2 linked regions of the Saccharomyces cerevisiae S288C genome follow. The protein of the gene in region 2 interacts with the protein of the main gene of each other region in a biochemical or structural test. Each region holds a gene or a part of one and is shown on either strand. Other genes may lie near its edges.

What was found.
Region 1: the proteins of NHA1 (region 2) and BMH2 interact in a test that uses a peptide from one of them, tested with the Saccharomyces cerevisiae proteins (one study listed by BioGRID).

Annotation. Positions count from the first base shown.
Region 1 is NC_001136.10:651,697-655,249, reverse strand, and holds BMH2 (14-3-3 family protein BMH2), read right to left. Parts: upstream 1,644-3,553; coding exon 822-1,643; downstream 1-821. Other genes in the region: TVP15 (Tvp15p), read right to left, coding at 1-237.
Region 2 is NC_001144.5:416,242-421,932, reverse strand, and holds NHA1 (Nha1p), read right to left. Parts: upstream 3,497-5,691; coding exon 539-3,496; downstream 1-538. Other genes in the region: SLS1 (Sls1p), read left to right, coding at 1-391; RKM5 (S-adenosylmethionine-dependent methyltransferase), read right to left, coding at 3,824-4,927; TIS11 (Tis11p), read left to right, coding at 5,275-5,691. UniProt on the Saccharomyces cerevisiae protein: Sodium export from cell, takes up external protons in exchange for internal sodium ions. Also capable of exporting potassium ions.

The sequences.
Region 1 (3,553 bases), on a different chromosome or scaffold from region 2:
ATAAGATAAACCCCTTCCAAGAAAACTAAAGTAAAAGGAAGCATACCTGTAAAGATTTGACGGAACCTTGAACTCCAGATAGACGATAGGTACGGAGAGTGCCAGTCCGTAAACTGCCAAGAGGAAGACGTTTAAATTGGTGAAAATATACGTCAATTGTGAAAGGGCAGCAATAATGTCTATGCAGCCAATTGATATATTTGCAATCTTGAAGAATTTTGGAGGAATAACTGACATCCTTTCGTTTGTGATCCCTTGTGGTTATTTGACTTTGTTTATTGTCCTCTCTTGTAAGACATACATATTAATGGTCATAGTTTTCCACTCGAAGTATTTTTCCGTTGCGGATTTACGCTACTATACCCCCGCCCCCCTACACCCAGGGAGCGCTGTTTCATCAAATGAGAAAAGATGCCTTCACCTTCAATAGGTAAGGTAGATCAAGATTCAAAGGAAAACAGAAGAAAGAGGTGCGTATACAATGGAAGGAACTTATTTTAAAACATACGAAAATTACTACTCAATTACTCTCGCAAATTGTCTCAACTCTGAACGATAGCCAAAATATAAGAATACACGAAGAAAACAGTGATAGAAGTAATAGTAACAGAAAAACTATTTTATGTTATATATTAAGAAACTATTTTTTTAGAGGTTTGTATATTTTGTAGTTGGTAAAATTGAAAATTTTGTGAATTTGTATTAGACGAAGATATTATCTCTTCCCCTAAAAAAAGTATCAAAATCGAATTGCATTCATTTTCGTTAGCAAGAAAACTGGAGTGGTAAATCTTCATTTCCCCTTGTATTTCTCAGCGCTCTTATTTGGTTGGTTCACCTTGAGTTTGTTCAGCTGGAGCTTGTTGTTGCTGTTGTTGCTGTTGCTGTTGCTGTTGTTGTTGTTGTTGTTGATCTTCTTGACCAGATTCAGAAATATCAGAGGTCCATAAGGTCAAGTTGTCCCTTAATAATTGCATGATCAAAGTGCTATCCTTGTATGATTCTTCAGATAAAGTATCTAACTCAGCAATAGCATCATCAAAGGCTTGTTTGGCCAAGTGGCAAGCCTTATCAGGAGAGTTTTGAATTTCGTAATAGAAGACGGAGAAATTCAAAGCTAGACCTAAACGAATTGGGTGAGTTGGAGGCAATTCAGTTGTGGCGATTTCGGAAGCGGTTTTATAAGCCTCCAAAGAGGAGTTGGTTGCCTTTTCTCTTGCATCTCCGCTGGAAAATTCAGCTAAATAACGGTGGTAGTCACCCTTCATCTTATAGTAAAATACTTTAGACTCACCAGTAGTAGCAGAAGGGATTAAATGAGAATCTAACACAGATAAAATGTCGTCAGAGATTTTGGTCAATTCAGTTTCAATTTTAGAACGGTAAGAACGGATTAATTCAACTTGATGTTCAGATTTCTCCTTTGATTCTTCTTTTTGTTCGATCGAAGAAACTATTCTCCATGAAGCACGGCGAGCACCGATGACGTTCTTGTAAGCAACCGACAATAGATTCCGTTCTTCGACAGATAACTCTTGACCTGATGAAGCAACGGCCTTCATGTTTTCGACCATTTCTTCATAACGTTCGGCTTGTTCAGCTAATTTAGCTAGGTAAACAGAATCTTCACGAGTTTGGGACATTTTTTTTGTTGTAACGGGTACTTTTTGTTGATTTGATAATTTTTCTTTTTACTTCGTTTTGAAATTGTCAGAGTATTAACCTTCTGTCCAAGTTTTCTCGTTCTTTGCTTTTCCCCCTTAATCAATCGAAAAAAATAATGATTAAAAACCGGGAGAGGCAATTTTTTTTGAAAAAATAAGTTAGTAATTGAAATTTGATAAAAAGAACGAATGTTTAAGATAGCTCAAAAGATTTCGTAACCTTTGATGATGAATATTTGAAAAAAAAAAGACTACTGGAGGGACTTATAATAACATTTGCCCCTTTCGACCGACTTTTTCCTCGTATTTCGTGTGTGTCATTTTGCTGATCCGGGTGACACACTACTAATCATTTCGAGCAGACGACCGATTTGTCCGTTCTTCCTAAACAAAAAAGGGACGATTTCAATAGTATTCGCTGTATTATTATCTCTGGTCATATGAATACCCACGCTTGAATTACGGATTGGTCGTAACAAAAATAAGTGTTACCTCGCTGTTCTGACAGAGATAACTAAACATTTCAGAATGCAACATCACACGGGTGGACCTATGTTCTAGTTCTTGTATTAGAAGAAAGCAATCCGCTGTGCTTAAACCAATATAAGATATATATAAAAAAAAGAAAGTGGGAAAAACAAAGGAAGAGAAACTATAACACTTCACTTTCAAGGCCTGTTAAGTTGATATAATTAACATTTTCAGGAGAGTAACATTCATGTCGGTAATAATTCAAATCAGAGAAGATGAAGGTGGTTGTGGAAGGAGCTATTAATGAAACAAGTTATTGAGAGGTAAAACATACGGTTCGATTCAAATATGAATTCTTAAATTTGAAGGTGGTGTGGAAAAGAATGCAATTGATCGCGCTAATTTCAAAAGATAATATTAAGTAGAAATGAGGGAAGAAGCTGAAGCGAAAGATATATAAGTCATCAATATATATAAACAGGGACTTTGTTTATGAGCTCATGTTATAAATACAGATAAGACAGAATTGAGAAAGAGGAGAAAGAGCGATCTATGCGATTCGCCCCCGAATCTTCTCGTCACGGAAGACCGTGCATTTTCTACGGCAGCGGCTATGGTGTAATTGTCATTAACAACGGAGAGTGTTTGAGCGGCTAATTTTCGGTATTCCAAGAGACAAATTTGATTTGTACGAGGTATATGAACGATGCTCACTATATGTTGGAACTTTTGAAACATCTTTGTCTATTTCTCACAGAAATTGATGCTGTGTTACTTCGTTTCATGATTTTTCGGAAAGATACTGTGTAAGGTTATCATATATGAAGCGATACGTGCTGACCATAAAGCAGTACTTCAATAAAACGTTTTCCGAAAAAATGTAGTGTTGGAATGAAATCTTAGTGTCATTTTTTGACTAGTGTTCATGCTAATAATATTTTTTTAATGCAGTCTTTCAGTCTTCTGTTATGTAGTTTTTGTCATGATTAGAACAATTTATTCCTCGAAGACCTTATTCTTCTCATTGATGTTGCCATACACTATGTGTGCCATCTGGAGATTTTTATTAGCTCGTTATGTGAATGACTATTTACTTTACAGAACGATAATGGCGCGCTCATTGTATTAAGACTCCTATAACCTATAGAGTACTATTTTATATTATTGCTATATTATCAAATGAGGTATAAGAAGATTATACAACAATTGAAAAACAGTCATTAGACTTAATGAGAGCTGAATTGCATAGCTAGATAATGTAATAGGATAATGAAGCATGTAAAATAGAAGGAGAAATAATAGCAATATTATGCAGAAATACCGATTCCCTATTTTGGATCCCAAGATCCTCGAAGAAAAACCTCTAGTATATTCTGTATACCTAATATTATTGCGTTTACCAACAGTGGAATCCCAAC
Region 2 (5,691 bases):
TAAGATCACGTCAGATTACATTCAAGATCTTTTACCTGATTTCGACCAGACCAATCCGGATGCTTGGTTATCTGAACAAAAAGGCCTCCAAGAATTTCTTCTCAAGTCACACTGGAAGTTAAACAAATATCAGAATCTTATGAAAAAAATCAACATTTCTTTACCAGATAACCTAATACAGCAATACCAATTGACTGATGTTTTGACCCATCGTGTCTTGAATTTACGATTTCCTACGAACACTGCCCAAGATGATAAATACATCATTCAATATTCAGATATCAGCCGCGGATTTTTGAACAATGGCTCCTACAGACAATTAGATTTCATCAATGTGAACCCCAGTGAAACCTCACTAAAAACCTTTATCAATGATGTTTTAAGCTTTTAAGTTTAACGGAAAAGAGTAATGACAAAACCGCATACCCCCCCCCCCTCCCCCTCTTTACCGCATCTACTCTATTTCCGACACATGTAAATAAAAAAGGCATTTCGTTTATATATATACTAAAATAATATATCTTTGTGTATTAATAAATTACTTATTGAGACCAAGCGTTTTTGATAGCGCCGACTTAACAGCAGCACTCTTTTGCTTTTTTTTTCCTTCCGCTGTACCTGGACCATCGTTTCCTGTTTGTGCCTCCACAGGTAAGGGCGGCAACTCTTCGTCATCTTGATCCGCTGGTGCCGTCATCTCACCTAACGCATTTAACCTTCTTTGTCTTTCGAATTCAGTTTCTGATTCATATGCATTATCGTCGTAATCTTCACTATCGTCCATGTTATAACTATCACCTAAATCCTCCTCAGATGAAGGTTCATCTTCCAGATCTAAGGAATCTTGAACTCCTCTCGGTGGCGCAGGTGTTAATGTCCTTTTCTTTAACATCCCTGGGCCCTTCCTGGAGGGTCCTTCGATGGCTTTTTCTTCATCTACTGGAGGCGGTACGCCGCTGTTCGCTTTGCTCTTTAGTCCTACTGCTGTTAAAGCTCTTGATACAACACTATCGTTTCTTGGGCGGTTTTTACTTTTATCATCATCAGATTTATGAGGATTTATCTTGTATCTTTTTATAACATCACCGTCCTCATTCTCGATGATTAACAGATTGTCTATTTTAAATGCATGATACTTGCTGTTTTTATTTTTATCCTTTCCTTTATCAACCAATGAATGTATCTTTCCTAAAGATGTGGGAGTTAAAATTCTCTTTAACCTTCCCCCACTACTACTGGATAGATTGGTCATTGTGGTAGTTAAACTTGAATGGGCTGTACTATCAACACTAACTTCGTCATCTCTCGCCTCATTGCGATCCTCGATATCTACTTGATTCAAGATTTCACCTTGCTTATTTTCAATAATCATTCTATTACCATCTAAATAAGCAGTACCAGGTTTCATTTCTTCCTCTTTCATTTTTCGAATTCTCCTCTCTTCACTACTGGCCATTGATCTTTCACTTTCATTTTCCATCTCGTCTTCGCTTTCAATCTCGCTTTCTGTCTCTTCTCCATCGTAACGGTTTCTTGGTACGTAAGTTCTTCCTCGGAGAGATGAAGATCTTTCAGACGACTCAAAACTTGGTGTGTTATTGTAATTATCGCTATATTCCTTTTCCGGTGTGTACTCATCTTCTTCTTCATCTCCACCCATTCCAATCTCCTCATTACGTTGTGTATTGACGGCTGTGCTCAATGCAAATGTGGCGGCGCGTGCTTCCTTTTCTTTTTGCAACCTTTCTCGTCCCAGATCATTCAACTCATCGTCATCATACATTTCATTTTTAGATCTTGATGAAAATATTTCTCTACCTTTGTTTCTCAGTTTCTGTCTTCTGTTCAATCTTTTCTCTTTTCTTGACAATTTCCTCCTCCTTGGCATACCACCAGCGGGTCTTGCAGGAATTCCGCTCGTTGCGACGCTACCAATTTGATCATTGTTTAATCCTTCTTCATCTTCACCTCCTGCTAGTCCCTTACGACCTCCTCCTTCTTCTGCTTCACCTTCATCCCCTGATAAAGTCATTTGAGTATCCATACGATGCAATGAAAATGATCGTCCAGCTTTATCCAACGATGGCAACCTTTGCATCCATGAACTTTTCCCATTATCACCATTGGTGGTGTGTGTAGTGAATGTTTTGGTTAACGTTATCGTGTTCAAATGACGACCTAGAGTTATGATTGCAACTGAAGAACCATGAACTATGATAGAAGTAACAATGAAAAAACAAGTTATTGGCCATATACAGGCTATCAGCTGCCAATGTTTACTTTCCTCTTTTGATGGTACAACATTTAAAGGAGTGGGTTCGTCACTAAAGGTAGACTCTAATTCTCCACGAGCTAGTATAGCGGCAAAAATTGCACCTACACCAATAGGACCAAAATGGCCCACAAAAAGTGCCTCACGCCACGATTTTATATCAGGTATAAGAGGTCTTAATATCATGACTGCAGGGATCCTACGTAAAAAGATGACCACTATCGAAAGTATAATTAAACGCCAGACGTTTGTGCCAATTTCACCGTTGTTGAATTGACTCCAAGGTATAATGGCACCAAAATAGATAAAATACGCATAGTTTAGTAGCAAATCAATCACGGTAGAAACATTACTTTCTTGTGTCTTTTGAGAAAACCACCCATCCCAAGCGAAAGTCGCACCGGCTGCAAATGATACCAATAGGTCATCCACACCCAAAATGGAGCCGAACCCAGCACACATGAACGCCAGGACAACGTAAAATGCTAAGAACGACTCACGATCGATAATGTTTTTCTTTTCGGCAAACCTGATGGTGATTCTGCCTACATAACCAATGAAGCAACCTAGCAAGCATCCAAACAAACACTCATACAGGATAGTAACGCAAATCCAATCTTTGACAATTTCTCTTCCATTACCGGGATGTAGGATTAAATTCATAGAAAGAAATAAAAAAGGAAAGGCCATACCATCATTGCAGCCTGACTCTGCAGACAGTAGATTTCTTAAGTGACCAGGTACTCTTTGGGCAAACTTACCGGAGACGACCGACTGCGCCAGAATAGGATCTGTTGCGGTAATGCACGCAGATATCAACAAACTAGCAGAAAAATTCAAGCCAGGTATAAGAATCCAAACGAAGAGACCAATAATAAGCCATCCAGCTGTCATCACTGGCAATAATAGCATCGTCACAGATACCCAATGCTTCAACATATATTTCCGTGGCAGTTCCACGGCAACGGCAAAAATTTGCAAACATAATACTATTCTCGTTATCTCTAATGTTATACTGTCTGAATTCCCCCATTTCAGAGGATTAAACCAGTTCAAGCAAACAGGACCCACAATTAGCCCAAATATACCTGCTACGGTGGACTCACCAATATAAAGCTTCTCCTTGACATAAAGTGACACTAAAGAGAAGATAGATGAAAAGACACCAACACATGCATAAGCAACGTGCGCCTTTGAGACTTCTAGTTGCTCCCAGATAGCCATAATATCTAGCTAAGTTCAGGATTTTTTTTTATAATGTACAAAAAAACACGATGCTTGGGAAAAATAAGTGCAGTGGAAAATGAAGCTTAAAAATCAAATGTGTGTAGAAAGTGTGATCCTATGTAAATCGCTAAGTCCGCTTTATCTTGACGATAACGGATCCAGCAGCTTTTAGATTATTAGCTATATCACACAGAGTTGGCTTAGTGCCCTTGCTAATCAAAAATGAAAATCTTCCCAATCCGTACGGAGGGGAAGAGGCACTGCCGCATCGCAAAGAAAAATAAGATTATCAGCATTATATTGTTTCTATTATTATATATGGGACTAGGTGATAAGATAAAAGTTAAAACGGGACTCTTGTATGACCTGGTCAACGATATCATAAACCGTGAAGTCATATTCTATGATGGCTTTCTCCAAGAACAGTGTTGTCACCTCTTGTGACCGCAAGTGTATCCCCACGAGGACATGGAATTGCAAATTGTAGGTAGTTTGTAACCAGTGTTTGAGTTGCTTGAGCGTCTTCAGAAACGGATCTATCAGGTACTCGTTGTATATGACATCCATAGCTATAACGTACACGGAAGAACATGTTTCACCTATGAGTGACAACTCAGGATGCAGAGAGTGGGTCTTTTTGTCTTGCAAGTTTATCTTCTCCCAGTCTAGAGCGGCTACTTCCAAATGCAACGTAGACTTAGATGGAAGTGACGCTGCGGTGATATCAGCGTCGCCAACTGGTTCGACGGTGGGAAGTTCCAATCTTAGTGATCGGGAAATGCACCGCTTTCTGGTCAACTGTGATAAGTTTTCCATGATGTTATCTTTTAATTTATTAAGAATGCCCTTCTGATCTGTCGACACGTAGGTGTCGACGAAGTTACCAAGAATCACGGGCAAAATACCTGATATTCCTGCTCCAAGTTCCAAGATACCTCTCTTGCCGCGATCAGCGCCCGTGAGGTCGACCAGCCTGGGCAACTCAAGCTTGTGCCCCTCGCAAGAAGACCCGCAGGTTACTTCCACCTGACTCCCAAGACGGAAAGGTGCAGCGCTAGTACTATACAGCAGCCAGTTGATGAAGAAAGGTGTGGTAGACCACAAAACGTATCCTGTGGTGGAGTTTCCGTTGTCTCTGGACGAGCGCAAGCTTGATATGGACTGCCCCACGCTAACATGATAGCTATCCACAGCAACATTCTGATCTTCTTCAACACTACTAGCCTTATTTCTTCTTCTCACTCGCTTTTTTTTTCTGCCGCCTTCCAGCCCAGAGGGTTCAAACGTTATCTCTAGCACACCGCCCCTTCTATCCTGAATACCCAAATCCTGCGCCAGTTTCCCGGACTGGCCCTCCAATTGTGTGTACCGTTCGAACACGTGCTCGTATATTGTTTCCTCATCCAGTAGCCATAACTTGAATGCCATTCTGCCTAGCCCATTTGCGTCTTCGCTGCCGTAACCATTCTCTCTTCTTGACAGCACTGCCTTGGTCAGTTCTCTATATTTGTCGCGCCGCCGCAAAATGCACCCACATTAAAGAAGACGACGCCAATCGACACCCTAATTTGGAGGTGTAGATGCACAATGGCACATGCAGTTGGGTGCATTGTGCCAGCAATCTCGTCTCGATTTCTCTACATGTAACTTGTATATATATTTGAGAGAAGACATAATCGTTGGTGGGACTTGGAGGCTCTTGGTAGGTCGTATTTGTGCATCTTGAGAGAAAGCGAAACAGTGCTGCAAACTCAATACGTAAAAAATAACGCAATATGTGGGCTCAATTATCATATACTAGACCAGAATCTCAGAAGACTGACTTAACGTCGTTGTTTTCCACAGATCAAGAGCAAAATCCATTAAATGACTACCAGTACCAGATCAATATTAGGGAACTGGAGGAGTATTACAACAAGACGATTTTAAACGAGGATAACATACAGGAAACAAGCAGTGAAATATCTTCGGCAGTTTCATTCTCTCCACCAAAAAATACAAACGCTATTCAACCGGGGCTACTGTATGATCCACAGTTAATGAACCCTTTTCTCCCATCCGCTCACCTGAATAGCACGGCACCTACTACTTTTAAAAAGAAACTAGAGGTACAAATAAATCCGGACTATGTCCCAAAATCTTCACAATTACCATTAACTTCACAGAATTTGCAACAGTTGTCTCAACAAAAG